Cricetulus griseus: one gene and its partners. The protein of the gene in region 7 purifies or fractionates together with the protein of the main gene of each other region. This does not show direct contact. Links are inferred from orthologs where the notes say so. Each region holds a gene or a part of one and is shown on either strand. Other genes may lie near its edges. The genes, in order: Akap11, Osbpl9, Vps13a, Rassf3, Ptpn12, Lsg1 and Vapa.

Region 1 (3,500 bases), on a different chromosome or scaffold from region 7:
ATCAGTTTCAGAACCCTGGACCCAAAGGAGTCTCTACAGGTCACCCAGTGCTTCAGATAAAGGCAGGGACACACAGGAGATACTCTTTCCTTCTTCTCCTGCCCACTCCTCAGAGTCTGAGTGCTCAAGCCCAAGTCCTGTAATTTTTTTGGATGAAGAGGGATACCAAAAAAGTTTAAAAGCAAAACTTGAACTGCCTGAAATCCCTGTGACAAAAGATGATATAGAGGATTCAGACTCAGAAGTGAGTGAGTTTTTTGATAGCTTTGATCAGTTTGATGAACTAGAGCAAACTTTAGAGACTTCTTGTCCATTTATGAAAGATCCTGATATAGAGAAGTCATTGCAGAAGATTGGGCACAAACATGAAAAATCTTGTATGAATCCTCAGAAATTCAAGTTTGAGCGTCCAGCTCTTCCAGCTAATGTTAGAAAGCCAACTCCACGAAAACCCGAGTCTCCATATGGACACCTGTGTGATGCTCCAGATTCCCCTCGTCCAGTGATGGCATCAGAAGACAGTGGCTTGTTTAGCCCTATTCGAGCCTCTGCTTTTAGTCCTCCTGGAAGCTGTACTCCTGCTGAATGTTTTTGCCAAACAGATATTGGTAGAGATAGGAGCTATGAAAACCAGGATCCTATTTATTGCACTTATGAAGATTATGCAAATAATCTTTCACATGAAGTACTAGGCTCAGTTCTTCATACTCAGTGTGTAAATGCAATGTCTGATACTAATAGTATTAAAAGGGGAGAAGATTATCCTGTCGCTTTTAAGCACGGGAACTCTGATCAAAAAAGTAAATATAAAAACAAATCTTCAGTGATTACAGACAGCGTTCAGAAGTTTGCAGCAGATCTTGTAGGAAGAAGTTTTGGCAATGCATTTAAAGACTTACAGAAAGGAGTTTCCTCATGTACCAATGCATTGTGCCACTTTGCTGTCAAATTGACATCATCTGTTTTTCAGATGGCATTTAACGAACTTAGAAGGCAGTGTGCATTTTCACTGAAAGAACGAGCCATTGGTAGCCTGGCAAGTCTTTTGGTTAGTGAAGCCTTATCAAATGCCTTGAAAGATTTGCAGTACGTGAAAAAGCAGATGTTTACAAACACAGTTGCTAGGTTTGCCGCGGACCTTGCAGAAGAGCTTGTTTTTGAAGGCATCATGGAAGTGTGTCAGTTTTCATGTCCTCCAACACCTGCATCAAAGTGTCCATCATTTGACTTTGAAGACAAAGTCGTGAAGTCATATGCCAAAGATTTGTCTGAATCTGTAATACAAGAAGCATTCATAGAGCTGTCACAGACTGATGTGACCTTCACAACAAAGGCAGCAGTTAATGTTTCAATGGGTAATGTTAATTATGCGAGTGCAGAAAGTGGAGTGCTGCCTACACAGACCTTCACATTTTCCTCATCCTTCAGCAGTCAAGCAATTATGACAAAGCCAGTGCAGGAACATAAGAAGGAATATACAGTGCAGCAGGCCTTGTTTTGTACTTCTGGAATTGTCACTTCCATACCAGTACCTTTGGCAGGTAGTGCTCTTCTCCCGTATCATATTTCATCTACTTTGTATCAGTCTAGGTCTCATCCATCATCTGAGCATAGTAAAGCAAATGATGGTTCTACCCAAGAGCACATCACCACAGAAAGCAGTGAAGAGGAAGTGGATTGTCTCAGAGACATTGTTCTACCATCAGAACTCAATCCATGTAACCAGAATGACTTCAAACCTACCAACGGTGATACTGACATACAGAGTCCTTCAAAAATAACTAGTGGCTCTATGATTATTAGCAACTTTTCGGCAGCAATGGTACATTCAATAGTCAGTGAAACCTTAGAGTCCATGACAACCTTCAAAACTACAAAAACTGTTGATGCACATTCAGATTATTTAACTAAAACAAAGGAAAAAGTCTGTCCTCCTTCCATTTGTGACCAAGTAGCACCACAACAGAGCAAAGCTAGCAGTAAGGACATGTTTGCTGAGCAGTTATCTAAGTCAATTATTAAACATTCCCTGGATAAAAGCAAATCAATGCTTCCAAATATAGATAACAAAACAGTTAGTACGGAACTTGTGCCTATTCTTGGGGAAGAATCTCAGTTGATCTTGGAGGAATCTCCCAAATTTCTTGGCTTTACAGATCACTTACCTCACTGTTCACTCTTGGCCGGAAAGCATTGTGTTCCAGAATGTAAAGATTCTGTGGGGTTTGGATTTTCTTTAGAGTCACTGCCACCTTGCTCAATGATGTCAAGTCAGAAATCTGACTTGAAGGAACTTGTGAAGGATAAACCAGTGAAAAGGCATAATTTGAATAATACTACACTTGAACCCTTGTCTTTTGGGCTGGAAAGCTCTTTCCGTCACTCACATGCTTTATCATCTGCAGTGCTCACCTGTGTAGATGGTTTGCATGTAGAAGACAAACAGAAAATCAGAGACAGAAATGTAATACCTGATACTCCTCCATCAACTCCTTTAGTACCATCCCAGACTAGTTCTGAATGGGACATAAAAAAGTTAACCAAAAAGCTCAAGGGGGAGTTAGCCAAAGAATTTGCACCTGCAACACCACCTTCTACACCTCACAACTCCTCTGCTGGCAGTTTGTCTGAGAATGAACAAAATCCTATAGAAAAAGAAGAGTTCATGTTGAAGCTTATGCGATCTCTTTCAGAAGAAGTTGACAGCAGTGAAGGTGAAGAGCACCCAGAAATGGATGTGAAGTCAGAGTGCTCAGGAAAGAAAGTACACTTTGCAGAAGCATTAGCTACCCACATCATTTCTCTTGCAACTGAAATGGCAGCCTCCCAGTTAGATCATGAAATCACTCAAGAATCCAAGGCTCAGAATCCTCACTTGAATGTGCAGAGTCAAAGAAGTGTGTTGTCTGCTTCTTTAAATCATTCTGATGCAAACATGCAGACATGCAGTTTTGCAAGTGTTTTGGCAGCTGATGTCATTGCAGAGGCCGAGAAAATTGCAAACGCTAGAAGTTGTATGCTTTTCAGGCAGGAGAAGAGCAATTGTCATGTTGATGTTGACCGTGATAGAGCAGAAGAGAAGCTGGATATGGAGGATGTTGCGTATCCAAGAGAAATAGACCCGTTTGTTCTTTCATTACCAAGTTGTGTGCCAGGTCTGACATACAGGTATCCCAGTTGTGAAAGTGTGACTGATGAGTATGCAGGTCATGTTATCCAAGTGCTGAAACAGGAAGGTGGCAATGGTGAACTACTCATGGACCAGTATGCCAGTAGACTGGCCTATCGATCTGTCAAGTCTGGAGTGCAAGAAGCAGCTAAGACAGTAAAAAGGAAGTGCAGTTCAAAAATGTTCCCTTTGCACAGCTCTGATGTGAAAATAAGCAAGGAACTGTTGACCTCAAATAAAGAGCATTGTCAGGAAGTAGATAAAAGACAAAGAAGAAGAAATGGCAGCCATCTTTGTAACTACCAACCTTGTGAAAGGACACGGGATCCAT
Region 2 (4,271 bases), about 410 Mb from region 7:
GCTGGACTGAAGCCTGTCAGTCATTATATACATTTATATGTATATATGTATGTACACACACACACACACACACACACACACACACACACACACATTCCATATGTTCTGCTACTCTAAAGAACTTTGATTATTATAGCAGGGGTGGAGCGCTTGCCTGGCATGTATGAAGCTGTATGTTTAATTCTCAGTCCTTACTGGGTTCTTTTCCTTTACAGTACAAAAAAAAAGTATATGGTTATTTTTGCCTGCATGTATGTCTGTGTACCACATGTGAGCCTGGGGCCATGAAGGCCAGAAGAGGATTTTGTATCCCTGGAACTGGAATTACAGATAGTTTTTAGCCTTCATTTAGGTGCTCGGAATCTGACTTGGGTCCCCTGGAAGAGCAGCCAGTACTCTGAGCCATCTCCCAATCAATCACTGCATTCTTAAAAAAAAGAATTCTTGCTCTGGGTCGTGGTGGTGCATGCCTTTAATCGCAGCATTCAGGAGGCAGATCTCTGAGTTTGAGGGCAGCCTGGTCTGCAGAGTGAGTTCCAGGACAGCCAGAGCTACACAGAAAAACCCTGTCCCAGAAAACCAAACCAAACCAAATGAACAAACAAAAAAACAAGAAGAATATTTTTAGTTGACACTTGCCTTTAATCCCAGCACTTGGGACGCAGAGGTAGGCAGATCTCTGTGAGTTCAAGACCAGCCTGGTCTACAGAGTGATTTCCAGAACAGTCAGGACTACAAAGAGATTCTATGTCAAAGAAAACAAAAAGTTCTTATGTGAATAATCTTAAAGAATGTCTTATGTAGTCCATATTACTCTTGAACTCATTATGCAGCCAAAGATGAGCTTGAACTAAAAAAAAAAGATTTATTTTTAATTATATGTACTTTTAGCATGTGCGTCTCCGTGGGATAGTGATATTTGCATGCAAGTGAAGGTGACCTCAGTTCCAATGGCCTGGAGTTTATAGGCAGTTCTGAGCACCCCCCACCCCTCGTGTGGGTGCTGGGAACAGAATTCGGATCCTCTGCAAGAGCGGTACTTGCTCTTAAACCGCAGTGCCTCGATTCTGCTTTTGAGATTACGGTTCTTCCTTCCTTCTTCCCTCCCTCCCCATTTCCTCTCTCCCTCCCTTCCTCTTCCTTCTTTCCTTCTTCCCTCCCTCCCTTCTTTTTCTTTTTTTTTGGAGACAGCCTTACTTAGCTGAGTTGGCTTTGAACTACTGACACCATCGCGCACGGCTTGGAAACATAATATTCACGCTTGCTTTCTTAGCTCGCTCTCCCCCATAACAACCCGCTCTACACACAATAGGCAAAGAGAGAAAGAAAGCATGCTTGACTGTGATTGCTAGGGGCGTGGGTCCACCGGCTGCAGGAGGCCCCGCCCCTGACCCCGCCCACCCAAGTCCCGGTCCCGCCTAGGCTCTCCGGGGCCCCGCCCCCTGCATGGCGAATGCCTTATAGGCGACTGACGTCAGGCCGTTTGTTGTCATTGGCGGCTCCCAAGATGGCGTCTATCGTGGAAGGGCCGCTGAGCAAATGGACTAACGTGATGAAGGGCTGGCAGTACCGTTGGTTCGTACTGGACTACAATGCAGGGCTGCTCTCCTATTACACGGTGAGTGGCTGAGGCCGCGCGGCTGGAACGGCGGGCTACGGGGAGCCGGGACGGGGGTGCTCCGCTGTGGGGACCGCCGTACGCGAGGTTCCCTTGTGGAGGAGGGCTTTGCGTGCGGGTAGCCAATGACCAGGAGGGAGATGCGGACCCAGCCAGTGAGCAGCGCCGGCTGGCTGATTCATGGGCCGGGGGGCGAGCCGGGTGCCTCAGGGAGTGGTACCGGGGCAAGGTGGGGTCTGCGCGGTGGCGAGGTGCGGGTGGGCGTAGCCCCGGTGCTGCTTGTCAGCCGTGCGATCCACACTTTCATCCCGTTGCCTCCCTGCTGGACACCGGCCGCACCCCTTAGTTCCTCCGGGGTTCGAAGAGCGCTGCCTTCTCGCAGCAGTGGTCAGACGAGCCTGGCCAGGTCCAAAGGTGACCCTCGTCAACAGCACGGGCTCTCAAGTCCCTCCCGTCTGTCCAGCTCCGCAGTCCTACATACTCTGGGGATGCACCCTTCTTCTTTCCAGCGGGGCGCGAGTGTAACGGACTCTTAACTTTTGAGAGCAGAGGATTCCCTCTGCGCGAGTCTTGGCTCTGGTTGCGGAGATGTAGACAGGGATGGTGCGGTTGCCTTGAAAGTTGTGTTCTGGGGAGGGCCGACTATGCGCTTTGACTGACTGTTGTTGGCAGGAGTCCGTGGCCCTGGGTAGGTAGATGAAGTGCTGTGAAACCTGTGTTCTGACTGCCTCTTCCACCCCCAACGCATTAGGGATGGAAGGTGGATGGTGTTAGAGAAATTACTAACGGGGCTACTTCTTTGTATAGTTAATGATCGCCTCTGAGAAAAAGAAAAGCACTCAGGAGGACAAAATATAGAATGTCTTGAAGGCTTTAGAAAATGATAGAAGAAAAAGGAAGAAATACAGTTATGGGAGAAGGGTTAGTGTTGATGAGAGAAATAGGGATACATAGTTTATTCATTCATTTAAAAATATCATTGAGTTTCTGTTCTGCTTGTTCCCATGTCCTCAAGAATCAACAGCGGTGTAGGCACTGCCTGTCTTCTCGAGAGCTTTTAGTGTAGTCTAGTGGGCACCTTAATTCATTTACTTGTAATTCATTTGCAAGATAGGTATTCATTATCCCCATTTACTGTCCCTATTTTACAGTTTTGGAATCCGAGGCTTCAGGCTTTTAAGTAATTAGCTCAAGATCACATAGGTAGCTATAAATGGTGGAGGCAGGATTCCCATCAAGTTATTCTTTTGCTACAGGAAGGGAGAAAAGTAAATGCTGCAAGTCATTAAGGTGGGCCTGCAAGAGTAAAAGAGCATTGCCTTTGTCATTCTTCCGATGTGAACTTCTTGTCTCTGCATCATCATCACCATCATTATTTTGGTTTTTCCAGACAGGGTTTCTCTGTGTAAGCTTGTCCTGGAACTCACTCTGTGGACCAGGCTGTCCTCAAACCCACATAACTCTGCTTCCCAAGTACTGGGATTAAAGGCGTGTGCCACCACTGCCCTGCTATTATTTTCATTTGTTTTGGAGCCCCGGGTCTTGAACATGCTAGGACAACACTTTACCACTGACCCAAAATTCCTAGCCCCCCTTTCTACATTAGTTTTAAAAGATCAAACTTTACTGAGACATAAACATTGCTCAGAGTTGAATATAGTGACCCATATATGTAACCTCCTAATTTCCACGTTTTGGATTGCAAATTTTAAGGCTAAGCCAGGCTAGGGTACTTAATGAGACCTTGTCTCAAAAAACAAACAAAAGCAAAAACAAAAAAACCTCAAACCAAAACCACTCAAAAGCAAACACACACACACACACACACACACACACACACACACACACACACACACACCACATTGTTTAAGATTATATAGGATGGAAAACTGAAGAATTATGAAATCCTATGACTCAAAGAATAATATCAAGTGAATGTGATTATCCAGCAAATTCCATGGAACCTAGCCATCGTATTCATGATGAAGTAATTTCAATTAGTGGCACTTTAGAATTAAGTTCCTCTTCAAATTTGTGTGTGTCTGAATCTAGGGCCATCCTGCAGAGGTCCCAAGTTAGGGCTCTAGGGAGCTCCTAGCCCCGACAAAATGTTCCTTTTCCTTGTTTTCTTCCCCCCACCTCTATCCCTCTCCCCTTCTTCTCCTCCTTCCTCCCTCCCTGTCTCTCTTGTCTTCTTGTCCTTGTAGATTTGGAGTGCTTGGACTTCTTGTCCTTCTGACTAAATAGAAGTTTTTCATAGACTTCTTTTTTCTTCCTTAGTACTGCCCTCCCTTCTGAGATTAGATTCTATGAAACATCCTTGCTAGGGGAAGGATGGATCATATTTCTCACTAATGGCTGTTTAGAAACATTTCTCCTCCATGCTTCTGTTATTTGCTTTCAGAGAAGTGTACTAGCTTGTGAGAATAAAATGATAGCCCAAAGGAGAGTAAGAGTCCAGTTGAATTCGGGCATCTAGTTCTGTCATTGTTTTAGTACATCAGACAAATTAAATCAAATCCAACAGAGCAGCTGTCAGTTAGTGACGATGCCTCTGTGTGTTCCCACTTCCAGACACTTGCCAGTTTCTGGGTACGCTCCATGAGGAAGAAGGCTCTGACTCTTATTCATATACATCTTTCTTATTTGCAAA
Region 3 (3,500 bases), on a different chromosome or scaffold from region 7:
GATACGAAAAATTATTCCTACGATTAGAATTTGAATCAAGAAATGTGTTTGACATAAGAGTCACTTTGAATTGAACTACTTGTAACTATTGTCCCTGTATCTTTCCACCATTGTTTATTACTAATAATTAAGGCAGATTACCCACTCTTAGTGTTACAGTTCCATAGAGAAGTTATTCCCCCAAAGTCACACCTAATGTTTGTCCAGGAATTATTAAAAGATAATTGAGATTTTGCATTTAGAGTAAAAGGAAAGGTACAGATGAAGGTATATAATGAGATATCATTAGATCTTTGAAGAGATTTGGGTCTTTGTGTTAGAATGAGACCCTTAGGAAACTTCCAACATGGTGAAATATCACTTGGCAGAGAAGTGACAATCAAGGGTCTAGTGGTTACAGTTCTGCTTTCCATCATTAGGAAAAAGTTCATTTATAATCTCAGAATTTCCTAGTGATTATTTATACTTATTATTTTTCTTAGTGCTTTGCAGTTTTAGCTTTTCCTATAATATTGGCCTTTTCACACTTATTTTACTGTATGTAAAAAGTACGATAGACTTTTGGTAAAAAAAATGACGTACTAAGAGCTTCCTATGTTTTTCAAATATTTAAGCATATTTTTTAAATGTTAAGGTAGGTTTGTGTTTGTGTGTGTACATATGTACACTCCTTATCTATTGACATGTGATTACATGTGCTGCCTAGGGACCCTGCCAGTAAAAACATGTCAGCATTAAAGCTCTAAAATTCTTAGAGTCAAGTGATGTTTCATGGGAATTGTCAATACATAAAAAAAAAAAAAAAAAAAAACCCACGACTCTCAAAGGGAATAGGAGATAGTTTATTGTAGAGCCAAACTTTCTTTTTATAGCAAATAATAGTGTATTGATTCACTTATAAGTATGATTATTTACTTTTAAATGTTATTATCTATTACGAGGAAAGACTTTAAGTGGAAACATTTTAGCTTAAATATCAGTTTAATAATATTTTGTATTTTATAGGTTTTACAGCCTTGTGACTTATTTTATCAGGCTACTCAGATTGGAACAGATCCACAAATGATTGACATATCAGTAAAATCTCTTACACTAAAGGTAAGCTAAAAACATAAACATTTAAAACTGATTTGATGGTAGATCTGTCTTAGCTGCTCAAGGGGCTAAAGTATAAGAATCATAAGTTCCAGGCCTGCCTGAAGTACAGACCACTGAGGTGTAAGCCAGCCTGGGCAATTTAGTAAGATCCCGTCTAACCGTTACCATTACCACCAGAAAAAAGACTGAGCTCAATGGTAAAGCACTTCTGTAGGCATTCACAGGGCCCAAGTTAGAATCCCTGTCTCACAAAATGAATAATTATTTGGATATATATATATATGAAAAGTTTCTAAGATATTGTTGTAAATTTTATGATGAATGCTATAGTTTATTGACATACGACTTTTGTAGCGGATATCTAGGATATATATAATTGTAGTCATATTTAGTTGGTTAATAAAAACAATATTTACAAATACTTTGACAAATTTATCTAAAAATTTTTGTAGTAAAAAATTATGGTAGGCAAAAAATAAAAAAAAAAAATTATCTATTGTCCTGTAGTGCTTTTCTAGTTTGGCCTTAATTCTTCATGTTCATTCAGCAAATATATGTAATCCATTTTAAAATTGTTTTTTCTATTTAGGTTTCACCGGTTATCATAAATACCATAATAACTATTACTTCTGTGCTTTATACAACTAAAGAAACCATCCCAGAAGAAAAGACTTCTTCTATAGCACATTTATGGGACAAGAAGGATACTAAGAATCTGAAAATGTGGTTTCTAGAGGAATCAAATGAAACAGAAAAAGTAGTTCCCACAAGTGAATTGATGCCAGGAGGAGAGACACTGAACTTGAATATTGATTCTATTTTCATAGTTCTCGAAGCTGGAATTGGTCATAGAACAGTGCCGATGCTATTGGCAAAGTCACGCCTTTTGGGGGAAAGCAAAAACTGGAGTACTTTAATAAATCTCCACATTCAGCTTGAGCTGGAAGTAAGTGTGTATATAATTTTTCAGGTTTAAGATGCTTCACACAGAATATTCTGGGATCTTATATCACTATTTAAATTTAGTTTATTGTAAATACTGATACTGGCTTTATACCTTTTAGAAGAAAGCTTACACATTTATGCCCTTGAGCGGTTGCTTATATATTACTTTAAATTTCAAATTACATACCCATGCTTTATGTTTCAGCTGATTTTTACAAACCTCCAAGGTGGTACATTAGGGTCTAGAGAGACAGCCTAGTATGTATGTGTAACAAGAGGTTCTTTGTCTCGCAGATCCTGCTACCCTTGAGCCCCACAATAAACACACAGAGACATGTATTAATTATGAAACTGTTGGCTGATGACTAGGGCTTCTTATTGACTAGCTCTGTCTTAATTATTAACCCATTTCTATAATTCTAAGTATTTCCATGTGGTCTTGGCTTACTGGAGAATGTCCAGACCTGTTTCTCCTCTTTTGGTGGCTACATGGCGACTGTGCCTACCTACCTTTCCAAGAATTCTCCTCTTCTCCTAGTCTTGCCTATTTTCCTGCCTATTGGCCAACAATGTTTTATTCATCAACCAATAAGATCATCAACCAATAAGAGAAACATATATACAGAAGGACATCCCCCATCATTTAGGGGCTTCTTGATCTTCCAGAAACCAGAATCTGTTCCCAGAGTCCATATCAGGCAGCTCACAACTGCCTGCAACTCTGCCCTATCTCTCTGGGAATCTAACTCCCTCTTTGGACCTCTGGGCACAGGCACACACATGACAGACAGTCAAACACATATATGCATATATAAAATTAAAAATTCTGATTTTTAAGATCTAAAATTGATTTTTTTTCCTTTGGAAAGGTAGATTAAATTTATGAATACCTGAGTAAGCTCTTTCAAGTTTTAAAGAGTCTCTAATGAGGATGTTCTTGAAGTGTATAGTTGCTTAGAATGTGTGAGACATTATACTCAAATCCCAAACTTTCCCAAAATTTTAAAGAGGAAAAAAAAGAATCAGAGTAAACATGTTTTCCTCAGAATTTATAAAATTATTTCCATGGATATTTCAGATAAAATTAATTTAAGAAAGAGACTGGGAATATAGGTTAGTAATAGGATGTATACCTAATGTGTGTATAGCACTAATTTTAATACCAGTACTGCAGAAACAGAAGAAAGTCTATACAATCTTCTCCAATGATACTTAAATAAAATTATTGTTCTTGATATTTTTTGAAAAGCAATCTGGTTATCTACCTTAAAAGAGTGAGAGTTGATATTTAAAAGTTTCTATTTTTACATGAAATGATAAAGAATTATGTACTAACACAATTGTAATTGATTTTGACTACTGCACATTTTCAAATTGTGTTTAGAATTATGTGTATTTTGTACAGGACTTTATCTGAGGCATCCAAGAAGTGCCAGGCATTCAAACACTAAAATTGT
Region 4 (3,500 bases), on a different chromosome or scaffold from region 7:
AGGGCTTTGGGCTCATGTTGTTTGGTGGAGATATTCTCATTGTTTTTAAAGGGGTTAAGATCTCCCACCCCCAGCCCCCACAGAAGTTTTCCATCTTTCTGACAGGAGGGACAGAATTGTAACCACATTTGAGGCAAGTTCCTATTTTATTTTATTATTGTAACTCATTTCCTCCTCATCAAGGCATGGTGCATACTGGGCAGTTTGTTCACTGTGGGCCCTTGGTGTTAGGGTGAGAGAATGGTGATGTAGAGGTTTAGGTGTGGACTGTTGCTGTGATGTCAGGATGGGGTGTGGGGGTGTGGACTGTTGCTGTGATGTCAGGTTGGGTGTGGGGGTGTGGGTGGTGTGGATTGTTGCTGTGATGTCAGGATGGGGTGGGGGTGTGTGGACTGTTGCTGTGATGTCAGGATGGGGTGTGGGGGTGTGGGTGGTGTGGATTGTTGCTGTGATGTCAGGATGGGGGGTGGGGGTGTGGACTGTTCATGTGATGTCAGGATGGGGTGTGGGGGTGTGGACTGTTGCTGTGATGTCAGGATGGGGATTTGGGGGGGCACTGTCTCAGAATCACTGGCAACCTCTGTTAAATGCTCTTTGTCGTCTTTCCTAGTGTATGCCTGCAAGCTCTCCGACCGGGAACACCCACTCTACCTGCGTTTGGTAGCAGGACCCAGAACCGACACGCTTAGTTTTGTTCTTCGAGAACATGAAATTGGAGAGGTAAGAGAGGAACTGTTCACAAAGGCATCAAACTACACAGAACAGCCGGCCTGCTGTATTGCCTCAAGGAGGTGGGGCGAGAGGGAGCAGGGTGGGGTGAGATTTTTGAATCGTCTGAAATGAACCCACGTTAGCGTACAACATAATTCTCTTAGGACATTATATTGCTGTGTCCTCCTTAGGAGCCAGAGGACATAGCAGTTCTTACTCATTGCTATGCAAAGAGCAATTGTCACCTCTTCCCAGCCCCACATGACTGATCCAGCTGGGCCTCCCCTCTACATCTGCTCCTAAGACTCCAGGCCAGTCTCCTTCTACAGGGAAATAAAGGAAATCTGCTTCCCTCTTCAACCAGCCCAGGACCCGGGAGTTCTGTTTGCAAGAGCATCCCTGTCTCTCCAGGGACAATGTACTGGGGTGTCCACAGAGAAGCATTTCAGGCTGCGCTGTACATCATCTGGAGCTCTCAGTGGTCCTGGACAAACTCTCCAGGCCATGGCCCCAGACGTCAGAAGTGTGAATTGTCCGTGAAGCTGGGAGAACAGGCGTGCTGGCTTAGACATCAGGAGACAAACACTATGCTTAGATGAGGGGGATAAGACCTGAGGCTAATTTTCTAATTATTCTAGCCTTCCCCTCAAAGTGATCTATAAAGTGATACTAAATACTTCCTTTAAAATTATTATTATTATTATTATTTATTATTATTAGCGGAGTGGTGGTATCACGTGTCTTTAATCCCAGTACTCGGGAGGCAGAGGCAGGCGGATCTCTATGAGTTCAAGGCCAGCCTGGTCTACAGAGTGAGTTCCAGGATAGCCAGGACTGTTGGACAGAGAAACTCTGAATTGAAAACCTGTGTGTGTGTGTGTGCATCCATACATATAGATAGACGGTGATGATGATGATGATGATGTGTGTGTGTGTGTGTGTGTGTGTGTGTGTATGTATGTATGTATGTATGTATGTATGTGTGTGTGTGTATGTATGTGTTTGTGGGCATGTGTACCATAGCATACATACACGTAGAGATCGGAGGACAGCCAGGAGATGTTTCCCTTCCACATTTAGGTGGGTCCTGGGGTGGAACTCAGATCACCAGGTTTGTGAAGCTAGTTGGTGCTTTAAAAGAAAAAAAAAAAAGCTTGTTTTAATTATATTTTATTGTTTTGTGTGGATGTGTGCTCATGCACTTGGCACGGCACATATTTGGAGGTCAGAGGACAACTTGCAGTAGTCCGTTCTCTCTGACATGTGTGTCGTCAAGCCTGACAAGAGATAGTATTACCCACTGATGCACCTCACGGTCCTCTCCTACCTTGTGTGTGTGCACATCTGTGCGTGCAATGTAGCGCCTGCGTGTGTGTGCTCATGCGTGCGTGTGTGCATGCAATATCGCATCTGACGTGGGGGGGTGCTCTTAGGAACTAGAACTTCGAGTAGTGAGACACACCCAGCTGCCATGCAGGGCAGATGTAGGTGAGGAGACACTAAACAAGGACTGTCATCAGTCATTGCTTAGTGGCAAAATGAGAGCCTTGCATGGGAAGGGAGGGTAGAAGATCCTTCCCTGAAAAGCTTCTCAGGAAGGTAGATGCTCTCTGAGAAGGGTGAGCAGGAAATTGCTAGGCAAAGCAAAGCAGGGCTCTGTGTGTGTGTGTGTGTGTGTGTGTGTGTGTGTGTGTGTGTGTGTGTGTGTGTGTGTGTAAAAGAAACAGGGGACTTAAGAGACACCCCCCCCATCTCAAATGTGATAAGGGAGACCATGTGAGGTCCTAAATGGAGTTCAGTTTGTCACTGATGGAAATTTGGATGAAAAAGTGCTCATTTGCAGTCTTGGCTTTAGGGATAACCAGTGTTAATAGAACCGGCCATGGTAAGATAATAGGAGAAACAGACCGAAGGCTTAGTGACTAAGCCTTAGAGCATGCCCTAAGCCAGTTGGGGTACTGAGTATGGGACTGGGGAGGTACAACATTGCTTCGTGTGAACATTCAGTGGGTGCCAACTGTATGCTTTTAACCATGAGTGCTTGCCACGGCTGTGTGTGTAGGAGTGCCAGGGGTGGTTGGAGAGGGCAGGAGTAGACCGAGAAGGCTGGTGCTGGGATACAGGTTGGGTGAGAAAGCAGATGGACTCCGGAACTGTCAGGAGTTGATGAGATTGTGGGCAGGGAAGAAGGCAAGACCTCGACTCCAGGTGCAGATGCGGGGAGCCGATGTCTCTCTGGAGCGTTATAGTTGCTGAGGGCAGCCGTAGTCCCCACTTCATTATTATAGACAGTGTTCTGCAGGGCTTGGTGCCACATGCTGTAAAAGCAGCGCTCAGAAGGCTGAGGCGGGAGGGCCCTGAGTTCAAGACCAGACTGTGCTGCATAGCAGAACCTTTGTCTCTGTGGAGTGGGGGTTGAGGGGGAACTGAAGTAATCGTGTCCGGGCTCTGAGCTAACATGGCGTATTCCTCTCTGTCCCCCGCAGTGGGAAGCCTTCAGCCTCCCAGAGCTGCAGAACTTCCTGCGTATCTTGGACAAAGAAGAAGATGAACAGCTGCAGAGCCTGAAGCGGCGCTATACGGCCTACAGGCAGAAGCTGGAGGAAGCCCTGGGCGAGGTGTGGAAGCCCGGCTAAGGCCAAGGGCGTCCTGCCAGGATGGCACAGCTCGGGACCTATGAAAGAGCGCCGCCGCCGCTTCCTCTGCTCAGAGAGCTGTTGTCGTGCCCCGCCATGCTAGGGTCTTCCTCTTTTCTCTCTAGACACAGTTCTCAAAGCCTGGTCACACAG
Region 5 (4,195 bases), on a different chromosome or scaffold from region 7:
AAAAAAAAAAAGGAAAGATACAAAAAGTGTAGGGAATAGAAAGATTTGGAAGGACACACCTGCAAGGACATAATTCTGAGAGAAATGTATTGGCATATATTAGGTGCATTATTTTCTGTATTTTATTTTAATATGTAATTGTATATTGCTACTCACATCTGTTGTCAACTTTTTCAAACTAAAGTTCATGGTGCTGCCAAACATTAGTTCAGGAAATGTATCCTGCATTGATACTCCCTATCTTAACTCCCTATCTTTCCTGGCAACCTGCTCTGTGAAAACATGTTGTTTGTGCTTGTAGGGGACCAAAGTCAGTCTATGGATCGAATCCCAGTTGTGCAACATTACCACCACAAAATCTCGTCCCTTCGAGAGGCAGTGTGTGCGGCTCAGAGTCAAAGGAGAGGGACTTGCGCTCTAGTTCTGAGTCTACACGAATATGCCGGGGGTGGGGGTGTACTTTGGGGAAAATCACTTTATTTGTGAAAGGACAGATTATTTCAGCGTCCTCTCTGATGGGAGTCACAGAGGCTCTTCTGCGGACGAAGGAAGATATATCGTCTCCCACTTGGCCAACAGGGTTCCTTCCGTGCATGTGATGTCAAGGAAGCACTCTGCAAGCTTTGGCTCACACTGGGGTTAAAATGGATTTGCAAACAGAAGGCCTGGGGTGCGCTTCACCACGCCTCATTCAGTTAGGGGAGCACCCACGGGCAGAGGCGGCGGGGACTCTACTACAGTTCCCAGCATACTTCGGTCCCACCCAGCGGGCGGCGGCAGTCAGGCCGGGCAGGCGGGGTCCTGCAAGCGGGTGAGCGGGCGAGCGGGCGAGCGGGCGCGCTGGGGTCCGCTCTCCCTCCGCCAGGGGAGCGCCAGGCCCCTCGGAAGTTCACCGTGTGACCCACCCGGATCGCCCCGCTTGCCGATGCAGAGCGCCCCCCCATCAGGGACACGCCCCGGAAGCTGCTTCCAGCCAATCAGCGCGGAGCAGCGGGCGGGCTGGGCGGGGCGTGCGCTCGGCGCGCGCGCGTCTGGGTGGCGGCCGGCGCGGCGGGGCGCCGGGGGAAAGCGGCTGCGGCTGCCTGCCGCGGGGGTGGGGGAGGAAGGACCGGAAGGGGGCAGGGCGAGCGGAGAGCCGCGTTCCTCAGGCGGCGGCGGCGGCGGCGTCTGGGGCCGGGAGGGCGGGGACGGAGGATGGGGCAGGCAAGGGGCCGGGGCCGGCGCTAGCCTGCGGCTTGCCCGTAGACTGCAGAGCCGCGCCGCCGCCGCTCCTCGTCAAGTTGCGCGGGGAGCCGGCCGGGGCCCCCGCAGCCGCACCGCCGGGCGCGGCGGGGACAGAAGGAGCAAGAGAGAGAGAGGGAGAGGGAGGGAGGGTGAGACAGGGAGGGAGGGCGGACGGGCCGGAGCGAGCTGGGGAAGACGGAGCGGGCGCTGCTGCGGCGCGCGGGCGGACGGCGGGGGGGACGCGGGAGGATGGAGCAAGTGGAGATCCTGCGGAGGTTCATCCAGAGGGTGCAGGCCATGAAGAGTCCGGACCACAATGGGGAGGACAACTTCGCCCGGGACTTCATGGTGAGTGTCCGCCTCGCCCTCGCCCTCACCGTCGCCTCGTGTCGCTCGCCCGCCCGCCCCGAATCTCGCCCGGCCGGCCCGAGCTGCCAGCGCTTTGTGTGCGGGTCGCGCGCCCAGCTAGCAGCGAGCGCAATGGGCGAGCTTGCTGGAGGCGAGGTCGCCCCCGCCCCTCAGCCTCCTTCTTCCGCGGCCCGGGCTGCGCTCGTCCGCCCGCCCGCCCGCCCGCCGGGAGCGGAGGGAGCGGTCGGGGCCCAGCCCGCCCCGGCCCCGGCCCCGCCAACACCTATTGTCTCCCGGGCGGGTGAGCGTGCAAGCGGGCTCTCCTTCCCACGACTGCCTTCCTCCCCACCCGCCGGCCCCCGGAGGGTCGAGACGAAGCGGCCGGCCCCCGGTCCGAACAGACGGACGTGCGGTGTGCGAGGAGGTCACGGTTATTGTCACCGCTCGCCCAGGGTCGTCCGTGAGACAGGCAGACAAGACAGACAGGCGTGTGTCTCGCGGTTCACCTGACCGGCGTCCGTCTGTCCCGCACAGTCTTTTCCCGAGAGCTGGGTTGAAGGTGGCTGTGGGGCTCGGATGACTTTAGGTCCGGTCGGGTCGGGGTTGGGGTCGGGGTGGGGGTCGGTGTGCACGGGGCTGCCCTGAAGGAAGCTGGCTGCGGACCGGAGGGGATGTGACTACCGCTTCCTACCCGGGGTGGGGGCGGGGAGCCGGGAACAATGGTCCTGCTGGGGTGGAGGCGACTCCAGGGGCCGGAGCCCCGGACCGGGACATGATACCCTTCCCCTTCCCGCCGAGGGCCCTGGGTCACGGGGGTGAGATCGCTGCGGTGCGTCATGGATGGGGGTGTCAGTCCCCAAGGCTGAGACTTCCTACGCCACCCCTCCCGCTCCGTGTATTTTCCTGCCTGCCGGACAATGTTCCCTCTAGGGTTGTTTCCCGGCTCAGGAGGCGGCGGTGGCGGCGGCGGCGGCTGCTCCTGCGGATGTTGCGCAAGACTGGGGCGTTGGGAACCCTGGAGGTCTGGGGCATGGAAAAGGAAATGGGACTTGGGAAGTCCGGGGCTGGGAAATGAGCTAGGAAAAAAAAAAAAAAGTACTCCTAGACAAGGTGCACTTGGAAGGAATATATATATATAATATATATATATATATATATATATATATATATATATATTATATGTAGTTAAGTCTGAAATAATGGTTAGGAAAAGTTGAGGTCTGTAGAAACGAGTGGGCACGGAACGTGGTTGCCGCTTTTTATTTCAAAACGCAGGTGAGGTCACACAAGTAGGTTTTGTCTACTAAGACTTCAGCGTTAAAGTTGTCACGGTATTGATAGTATTATGCAGCTTTATGGTTTCCACCTCCGATTTATAAAAACAGAAAGTAGGACCAAGACTTTGTTTAATATATGGTGACGACTGAAAAGGGTAGATCATATAATCCAGTTATCCTGTATTTTAAACTTTTTGTTATTTAGGTAGTGTTTGGAAAAGGGACTTTTGATCTATAAAGGTTAAAGTATAATTTCCCCTTTCTACCATCAAGAATTTTAAATGATGTCGTTTACAAAATTGGATAGTCTTTTTACTACCCTATAGGAAATGTAGAAGAAAACAGTTTATTTAGGATGTTTAAAACTGATGGCCCTCAGCCTTTCTTGATTATGGAAGGGACCATGTGGTCCCTGGCTGCTCATCGTTTGCATGCTTGTCACCTTGCTGTTCATGGACATACTCTTCAAGGAGCACTGTGTGTGGTGATGTAGGCCGTTCTTGCTTTGGAGCTGAGTCGGGGATTTCTATTGAAGATGTCATTTCACAAGGACCAAATCTGTTCCTATTCCATAATACCAAAGTATAGCTAGGTAATTCTATTCTTTTATAGTGCTTGCTTTTTTTATTTCCTGGCTTGATAAGCAACAGCTATAATTAAGACTGTTGGCAGTTGAGTGCTTTTTTTTCCCTTGACTAGAAGGCTGGAAAGGAACTATCCTCTGTCATGGAAAGAGAATCAAAGATAATCCGATAAATTCTGACTGGTTATTCTTACGTTCTGATGTGGATAAAAACTCCATTTTAAAATCGTAATATTGTATAGCAGAGTCTTAGAAGGTATTATCACTGTTACAGCTGTTTCTATAAAGTAATGAGGGGCAGGAGCTGATCTCACTTTGAATCCAGGCTGTGCTTGAACCTGTGGTAGCCCTGCCCCAGCCTCCCTAATACTGAGATTAAATGTCTGAGCCCACTATACCTGTGTTACATTCTTGTCTTTGGGGGTTTTTTAACTTAGATTTTGGTGTCTTTTATTAATTACAACCACTTTCTAGGAATAACTTAAGTAGCTGTGTCACTATGTGACTGTTAAACAGTTTAACCATTTGCTTATAGTTGACTGTTTAGTCTATTGTATTTTCTATTAAATACTTTGATAAATATGAATAAAGCCTGTGCATTGTTTATTGCCTAGTATCTCTGTACAGGAAGTACTAAGTCTGGATACAACATTTACATATGTTTACAACTTTAAAAAAGTTACTTTATACAGCCATTCATCAGTAATGTATAAGTATATATATTGTAATTGTTTAATTATATTGATTTATTTAACCGCTTAGA
Region 6 (3,500 bases), on a different chromosome or scaffold from region 7:
GAATCGGGTGGGTTAACAGTAGTGTAGGTTACAAGAGTGCAGGCTCTTACTTAGTGTTGTGATGGTTTGATATGGGTAGCAGACTGCAGCCCTTGCTCAAGGTGAAGAGGATTGTTGCTGAAGATGTTAGCTTTGAAATAGAGCCTTCACTTGCCACTTCAGGAGGAAGTGCAGCTGCCTCCTTGTGTTCTCTTCTCATGCATGCAGTCTAGATGGTGACTGAACGGTGAAACAGGAACTGCTCCAGCAGCCCGAGGGTTAGAGCCCAAGAGCACACATCTCTCTATTATTACCAGTTCACCCAAGATCACTTGATTTTTTTAATTTGATATAGTCACTAATAATGAACATTAACACATATCTATATAAATTACAACCATAATAGTATGATGGTTCTAAATGGAAGGAATGTCTTTTGCTAAATCTTTGCCTCTACTCCTATTAGCTTAAAACTATTCTACATATGTAAAATGAGGAGACTGTTACATGGAATCTTTATAATCCTTTCCCATTGTCACTGTTTCTATTTCCTTGAAATCCACTCACCTCATAGGATTTTATAATGTGGTACCCAATGAAGTCTTAGTGTTTGGGGGGTTTTAGTGAGTTAGTGAAGATCTTTCTCTTGTAAAGTTATCTCTATAGAAAAATTAATGTAAAAATTAACCTAAGAAGGTATAAATTCTGTTTTAGGAAGTAGTTAGTATTCAAACTTATCAAAATGATCAGCATTTAGTACTCTAAAAGACCTGTTTTGGATTTTGAGTCAGACTCTCATGTAGCCCAGGCTAGCCTCAAACTCAATTTGATTTCCTAAACTCCTGATCCTCCTGCCTCCACTCCCAAGTGCTGGGATTGCAGGTGGGTACCACTACACCCAGTCACCCAGTGCCAGGGGTGGAACTCAGGGCTCATGCTTACTAGGCAGGCACTGTAGCATCTGATACATCCTCAGCCTCCGGATTGCATCTTGACAAATAGCATTTTTCTTTCCTTGAATAGAGAAGCTTAATATCAAGTTCGTGCTCCCTGAGGCTAGATCTGGACTGCTGTCTTTTGAGGAGAGCCAGAGAATTAAGAAACTCCATGAGGAAAACAGACAGTTCTTGTCTATACCGAGGAGGTAAGTTGAACAAGAATTAAGATCATTAGAGGACATAGAATGGGCCAGGTGGTAGTGGCACACACCTTTAATCCCAGCAGTTGGGAGGCAGAGGCAGGTAGATTTCCAAGTTCAAGGTCAGACAGGGCTACACAGAGAAATCTTGTCTTGAAATCACTTCTTTCCTCTACACCACCCCCTCCCTCAAAAAAAAAAGAAGACAGAGAATGGGGCTGGAGAGATGATGGCTCAGAGGTTAAGAGCACTGGCTGTTCTTCCAGAGGTCCTGAGTTCAATTCCCAGCAACCACATGGTGGCTCACAACCATCTGTAATGAGATCTGGTGCCCTCTTCTGGTGTGCAAGCATACATGCAGGCAGAATATTGTATACATAATAAATAAAGGACTAGATTACATGGCAGCTCTCAGCTGTCTGTAATTCCAGTTCTGGGGCATGTGATGTTTCTGCAGGCACAAACAGTCATACACATAAAATAATAAAAAAAATTATTAGTTGTTCATAATTTTCCTGCTTCTCAGCTGCCATTTACATCCAAATTCTCTTTTTATTTTGGTAATTTATATATAATTTTTTTCCTTTCTGTGATTATTTCAGACCCAATTGGGACAGAAAAACTAGTCCAGAAGAACTGAAACAGGCAGAGAAAGATAACTTCCTAAAATGGAGACGTCAGCTTGTCCGGTGAGTACTGGACTCTGAAGATTTGCCTGGAAGCCCTGGGTTTAGGCATTTCAGCTTGCATTGCCATTTGCCTCCTGAAGTTTTGATTCTTTTAAAGGGTAATACTGGGGCTGGTGAGATTGCTCCACAGGTAGAAGTACCTGCCGGCAAGCTCTGATTTAAGTTCAGTTCTCAAGACCCACATGGCAGAAGGAAAGAACCAACTCCCCCAAGTTGTCCATTGGCCTCTAAACATGCAAGCTAAATAAATAAATAAAATGCAATTTCAGGTGTGGGGAGGGTGGTAGTGTCTATTACAGGTGAGTTTGGGAGTGTGTGTGTGTGTGTGTATGTATGTATGTATGAATGTATGTATGTATGTATGTATGTATGTGTATAGACAGCATTGCTGGGTGCAGGTGCAGCTGTGCACAAAGGTGTTTGGTGGTTATTCTGCTCTATTCCTAGTCTTTTCTTATTATTTATTTTATGTGTGTGTGTTTGAGAGAGAGAGTGTGTGTGTGTGTGCGCATGTGTGTGCGCGCGCTCGCGCACCATGTGCTCACATTGCCAGCAGGGGTCAGAAGATCAGGGGCCATCAGATCCCCTGCGACTAGAGTATGAGTGATGTAATGTGCTATGTGGGTGCTCTGCAAGAGCAGCAGTGCTCTTACTGTAGGTTAAATTCCAATTGTTCTCAATAATAAAAACCCAGAGACAGATTACTGCGTTAAAGCTGAAGATCAGAGAAGCAAAGCAGTCAGCCATTAGGGAGTTCTCACCTCTCCCAATGCCCCTTTTAGTTCCCTTCTGTGGCCCAGAGGTACTCCTCTGAGCATTCTTCTATAAAAGTTGTGGGAGAGGAACTCCTGCGGTGTAAGGATAAAATCTGAATTTGTGGAATATAATATGACTAAGTTTTATTCTTGTATTGACTCAACAATGGGTATATGAAAATAATTGGATGGAGCCTGGTCAGGTGGTGTAGGCCTGTAATTTCAGCTACTCAGAAGGCTGAGAAGGAAGATTGCAAATTCTCAAAGCCTTCCTAAGCTACAAAAAAAAGTAAAAGACTGGCTAGGATGTGACTAAATGGTAGAGCACTTGCCTGGCAAGGACAATAAACAATAATAATAATAATTTATAGTATTTGGATATGTAGCTTCTCAATGTATTGAATTTGAGTGTTTATAATTCTTTAAAAACTATTTTGATGAGACAGAGATGTAACCTTCTCATTCTAAAGCCAGGCTAGAAGAGGAACAAAAGTTGATATTGACTCCCTTTGAACGAAATTTGGACTTTTGGCGCCAGCTCTGGAGGGTCATTGAGAGAAGGTAAGTAATGTTTCCCTTGTTTAATGAAGACATTTCAGTGTTGTTACTGAGCCTAATGTTGACTATGCTCCCGGCTCTGGAGAAATTTTAAAAATAACTCCTGGAAATACAGGCCTGGAGAGATGACTTGGCAGTTAAAAGCTCTTACGACTCTTGCAGAGGATTCACGTTTGGTTCCTAACCCCCACATTAGATAACTCACAACCACTTATAACTCCAGTTCCAGGGATCTGGCCTCCGCTGGCACCTGTATATACTCACATAGACACTTAAATTATAGTGTTTATTTTTTAGGTCTGAGGGGTAGTTGAGTTGTTAGAACACTTACTTAGCATGTGTAACATCCTAGGTTCATACTTCAGTGCAGGGATAGATGAA
Region 7 (4,142 bases):
CAAATTTTGTAATACATTAAACTTTAAGGACAAAAAAGCTTTTTCCATGAAACATCTAATTTCAAATCTAAATTACTAGTCAAATTGCTGGTAGGGTCAAAAAAAATGTTTTACGATCTTTTTATGCACAAAAGCACTAAAAGGTATGCTTCAGAATTCATTCTACAACCATAAAAGGTTTTCTACATTTTGCTAGTTAAAATTTTACTAAGATGGAGATACACACAAAAAAATATACCTGCTTTTCCAAAATCGTGAATAGTAATAACTCTTATCAAGTCATTACTCATGTTAAAGGAGAACTGTCAATCTCAGAATGGTTGAATGAGTCACTCCTGAAGGTACCATCACAACATAAATGTTGAATCCAAATAATTCAAATAAACCTACCAAATAATCAAAGAATTTTGCAAAGGAAAAAGCGTAAACAACCTACACTAAATGAAAAAAAAAAATCAGTTAAATAATTTCTGATATAGTCACCAAAGGATGCACACTTGGATCCTAAATCACCCTACTAGTGTAGAGCTGTGCATTTAAAGACAGACGTCTCCATTGTACAGAGTAATCTGTGACTGACAAAGTAACGTTAAGGAGGAAAGCGCCAAACCCCAAATGTCACACTCCTACTTCGCCCTCTCCCTATCGTCTCTGCTTGGCCCACCTTTACAAGGACCTGCACTTTAAGTCTGAAGTCTCCTCTCCTCAGTATTTACCCCTCCCTTTGCATAACTCTCCCCAGCCCCCGGCCGCTTCACAAGAACCTTTTCCCTTAAAAGATTCATTCCTTCGGAGAAAAGCTGCTTTCCTCAAACACCATTTATATCATCTTTTTGGTCTCCCTCACTAGTCTTGGATTGTTATTTTGATAACACAATAGCCTGTTGGAATTATTTAACGTCAGAAAGAAACGAGTGGATAAAGCACAATGCACTATTTCTTCTGGTTTTTAAAACCTGCCTCCTAAAATGCTTTTCACACAGGCTATGCAGTTCAGAAAATTTCCTCGTGAACTGTCAAAGGGGAAAGCAAACTACAGCATCATGAAGATTTACATTAAATCGCTTCAACTAATGATGACTACTTTAGTACAAACACTTGAAGGACTTCTCTGCATACCCCCACCCAACCCCCTTCCAAAAATCAGGCAACAGAAATTTGCTGCAGCAAAATGTACGCAAAGTATCTGAGGTTCTGAGGCACTGTCTAGTGTCTATGTAACCCAGTCTTGTTTCAAACGTTCCATGGTTCCTGGCTGGCCTCCAAAACGCCGGGATTAGAAGCGTGGTTGACCACCCCTAGTTTCAAAGGTATTAATTAGCCCTGCCTTAAAAAATCAAGCTCTTGTCAAATGAGGAATCCTGTAAGTCTCCATTCAGAGAAACCTGTAAATGCACCGAACACCTGCAGTGTAGGAAGTACTGCTAGCAAAACATCAAAATCTTTGTAAGTCCTAAACTATTTAAAATATAATTTAAAAATGGTTCCCACGGGGACAATCCAGCTATTTTCATTCGGACTCAATCTTACACAATCATGGACTCACTGTTTCTTTTAATACTAGAACTGCCATGCAACAACCCAAGGGAAATCGTTCTCATCACAGTTCCTAAAATTAAAACCCCAGGTATTAGCTAAAGAGAGGGAGGAGCAGGTCCTTTTAGCTCCACATCCTATCAGGAAACCTTAAAAATTAGTACGCTGTACGGTTCAAGCTTCTCTCCCCGCTACGTAGCCCACAAACCCACACACACACGGAGACGCCCAGGGCCCTGGATCTGAACCGTCCGTGCTCCACCGTCAGCAGCCCCGGCGCGGCGTGGCACCTTATCAGCTTTCTCGGGGTATGCTGGGAAACCGCAAACGCTCGAGTCGCCGACACCGAGAACGAACCCCTCGGCAAAAAAAAAAAAAAGACGGCGTGCTCCCCCGCCCTCCCCGCACCCCGGGGCTGGGAGCCCGGGTGACACCGGGGACCCGCTACCCGCGACCTAGAGCGCTGCAAACCCCGAGCTGACGCACACGCAGCCTCCCGCCGCGCGCTTGGGGCCCTGCCAGCGCCCGGGGTCAGTCCCAGCCCGACAGCGCTGGGGGCCTGGGGCGCCCCCGAGCCCCGCACCTGACCCGGGAGACCCGGGGCCAGGCCCGCGCCCGCCCCGCCCGGCCCTGCGCGCCTCGCCCGTGGCCACCGACGGCCGCCCGCAGACGCCGAGCGAAGCTGCAGCTCCCGCCGCCGCCCGCAACGCCCGGGGGCAAGGGACGCCGGCGCGGCGGCGGGTGGTGGGCGAGCAAGGCGCGGGCGGGTTCCCCGCGGCGCCCCGCGGGCTGCAAGATGGCGACGGCGCGCGGCGGCGCCGGGCTGAGCCCTCCGCAGCGCCCTGGCTCCCTCCCCTCCCTCCGCAGCCCGAGCGAGCGAGCGGGCGGGCGGCGGCGGAGAGCGAGGCGCCGGCCGAGGACGCAGCGGGGCCGACGCTAGGCGCGGGCGTGGGGGAGGGGAGCGCGGCCCGACCGACCCGGCCTCGCCGCCGCCGCCCCGCCCGCTCGCTCGCTCCCTCGCCCAGACGCTCGCCCGCCCGCCCGCCGACCCCGGCCCCCGCCCGGCCCCGGCCCGGGCCCCGCTCGGGCGCGTCCCAGCCGGCTCACCTTTGAATTTGAGGTCGGAGGGCGGCTCGAGGATCAGGATCTGCTCGTGCTTCGCCATGGCCCCGGAGGCGGACGCCATCGGAGACAGCGCAGAGCGGCGGCGCGCGCGCCCGCGGCGGCGGCGGCGGCGGCGGCGGTTCGCTGGCGGCGGCGGGCGGGGGCGGCGGGCGGCGAGCGGCGGGCGGCGCCGGCGGGGCCCTAGGACGGGGCCAGGCTCACGACGGGACTGCCGAAGCTCCGCGCCTGCTGCCGCCGGGGCCGCGGGTTCCGAGGGCCGCCTGTCGCGCCAGCAGCTCCGGGTGTCACAACCGACTCAACCCCACACCAGCCGCCGCGGCCGCGCGCGCGCACTGCCGGCCTCGGCTCCCCACACGTGACGGGCTGGACGCGCCGACGTGCGCGCCGCCGCGGCCCGGAGCCGCGCGCCGGCCCGCCCTCCGGGCCTGACCGGGACGAGGCGGGGCTAATGCGCCTGCGCGGGCCCGGCCCGGGCTGCGGCTCCCGGCGCCGTGCGGCTGTCAGTCGTGGCGGGGCGGGGCGGGGCGGGGCGGGGCGGGCGGGGCGCCCGGCCGAGAAGCGTCGTTCCCGGTGCCCGGGAGCTGCGAGCGCGGAGTGCCGAGCTGGCGCGCCCACGACGCGGGGGCCTCACGGCGTTCCGAGCGGAATTCCGAACGAGAGGCCGTCAGGAAGGCGCCGCGGCCCTCGGCTCCCGGCATGCTCCGGGCGGCGGGAGGGCGGGGCCTGCGCGCGGGGGCTGCTGGGAGCGGGGAAGGAGGCGGCGGTCCGGTCCGTTGCGGGCGGGCGGGGTCGCTGGCTTCGGGCTGGCCCCGGGGCGTCTCGTCGGCCCTGGGAGAGGAGGAGAAGGGTTCCGCGGGCCCGCGTCCCGGTGGGAAGGCGGCGGGGCCCTCCATCTCGGGCCTCCCGGGGTTCCAAGCCGGCCTCCTCCCTCCCTCGTCTACCCGCAACCGAGCAGAGCCGGACCTAGAAACGCGCACCCCGCCCCAAAGCAAACGGGAGCCCGCGGGCAGGGGCGAGCGGGCGAGCGGGCGGGCCCCCAGCGTGCCGGCCGCCTCCCCTGAGGAGACAGAGCCTGTGCGCGAGGAGAAGCAGGCCAGGCAGCAGAGAGGCTGGCAGGAGGAGCAAACACAACAAATGGATGCGCTGTAAAACATGCACAGATAAATAAACCTTTGCTGCGCCCTGTGGTGCTGCCTGCATTTAAATCTCTAAGGAAGCTCCAGGCGACAAGAAGCACCCTAGACTCCCCAGGACGCCAGGGTTGGAATGGGTCGTCCCCACCCCTGAGGGTACCACAGCTGCTTAAGACTTTTTCAGTGCACTGCCCCTTTTCAGCTGAGAAGTTTTTAATGCCACTCTGGGTGTCTAGGATACATAATAGTGGTACAAAGCAAACACTGATAATAGATTGTAAAGAACTTTAAGGAATGACACTCCTTACTTGGTGTGTTAAAAAAAAAAATAAGACAGACCAAAAACTC

Evidence for each region.
Region 1: the proteins of Vapa (region 7) and Akap11 purify together in Homo sapiens (co-immunoprecipitation; 3 studies listed by BioGRID and IntAct, counting the BioPlex papers as one, with this or other methods). This does not show direct contact. The link is inferred for Cricetulus griseus from reciprocal best matches to the Homo sapiens genes VAPA and AKAP11.
Region 2: the proteins of Vapa (region 7) and Osbpl9 purify together in Homo sapiens (co-immunoprecipitation; 5 studies listed by BioGRID and IntAct, counting the BioPlex papers as one, with this or other methods). This does not show direct contact. The link is inferred for Cricetulus griseus from reciprocal best matches to the Homo sapiens genes VAPA and OSBPL9.
Region 3: the proteins of Vapa (region 7) and Vps13a purify together in Homo sapiens (co-immunoprecipitation; 3 studies listed by BioGRID and IntAct, counting the BioPlex papers as one, with this or other methods). This does not show direct contact. The link is inferred for Cricetulus griseus from reciprocal best matches to the Homo sapiens genes VAPA and VPS13A.
Region 4: the proteins of Vapa (region 7) and Rassf3 purify together in Homo sapiens (co-immunoprecipitation; 3 studies listed by BioGRID and IntAct, with this or other methods). This does not show direct contact. The link is inferred for Cricetulus griseus from reciprocal best matches to the Homo sapiens genes VAPA and RASSF3.
Region 5: the proteins of Vapa (region 7) and Ptpn12 purify together in Homo sapiens (affinity purification with mass spectrometry; 3 studies listed by BioGRID and IntAct, counting the BioPlex papers as one, with this or other methods). This does not show direct contact. The link is inferred for Cricetulus griseus from reciprocal best matches to the Homo sapiens genes VAPA and PTPN12.
Region 6: the proteins of Vapa (region 7) and Lsg1 purify together in Homo sapiens (co-immunoprecipitation; 4 studies listed by BioGRID and IntAct, counting the BioPlex papers as one, with this or other methods). This does not show direct contact. The link is inferred for Cricetulus griseus from reciprocal best matches to the Homo sapiens genes VAPA and LSG1.

The regions. Positions count from the first base shown.
Region 1 is NW_023276807.1:232,869,898-232,873,397, reverse strand, and holds part of Akap11 (A-kinase anchor protein 11), read left to right. Parts: coding exon 1-3,500. UniProt on the Homo sapiens protein: Binds to type II regulatory subunits of protein kinase A and anchors/targets them.
Region 2 is NC_048595.1:40,620,708-40,624,978, forward strand, and holds the start of Osbpl9 (oxysterol-binding protein-related protein 9), read left to right. Parts: upstream 1-1,471; 5' UTR 1,472-1,507; coding exon 1,508-1,618; intron 1,619-4,271. UniProt on the Homo sapiens protein: Interacts with OSBPL11 to function as lipid transfer proteins.
Region 3 is NC_048596.1:44,422,956-44,426,455, forward strand, and holds part of Vps13a (vacuolar protein sorting-associated protein 13A), read left to right. Parts: intron 1-1,005; coding exon 1,006-1,098; intron 1,099-1,687; coding exon 1,688-2,044; intron 2,045-3,500. UniProt on the Homo sapiens protein: Mediates the transfer of lipids between membranes at organelle contact sites. Binds phospholipids. Required for the formation or stabilization of ER-mitochondria contact sites which enable transfer of lipids between the ER and mitochondria.
Region 4 is NW_023276806.1:135,460,596-135,464,095, forward strand, and holds part of Rassf3 (ras association domain-containing protein 3), read left to right. Parts: intron 1-610; coding exon 611-720; intron 721-3,197; coding exon 3,198-3,347; 3' UTR 3,348-3,500.
Region 5 is NW_023276806.1:173,416,284-173,420,478, forward strand, and holds the start of Ptpn12 (tyrosine-protein phosphatase non-receptor type 12), read left to right. Parts: upstream 1-1,395; 5' UTR 1,396-1,473; coding exon 1,474-1,572; intron 1,573-4,195. UniProt on the Homo sapiens protein: Dephosphorylates a range of proteins, and thereby regulates cellular signaling cascades. Dephosphorylates cellular tyrosine kinases, such as ERBB2 and PTK2B/PYK2, and thereby regulates signaling via ERBB2 and PTK2B/PYK2.
Region 6 is NC_048597.1:58,872,325-58,875,824, forward strand, and holds part of Lsg1 (large subunit GTPase 1 homolog), read left to right. Parts: intron 1-1,002; coding exon 1,003-1,123; intron 1,124-1,719; coding exon 1,720-1,806; intron 1,807-3,035; coding exon 3,036-3,122; intron 3,123-3,500. UniProt on the Homo sapiens protein: Functions as a GTPase. May act by mediating the release of NMD3 from the 60S ribosomal subunit after export into the cytoplasm during the 60S ribosomal subunit maturation.
Region 7 is NC_048595.1:454,567,821-454,571,962, forward strand, and holds the start of Vapa (vesicle-associated membrane protein-associated protein A), read right to left. Parts: upstream 2,801-4,142; 5' UTR 2,723-2,800; coding exon 2,644-2,722; intron 1-2,643. UniProt on the Homo sapiens protein: Endoplasmic reticulum (ER)-anchored protein that mediates the formation of contact sites between the ER and endosomes via interaction with FFAT motif-containing proteins such as STARD3 or WDR44.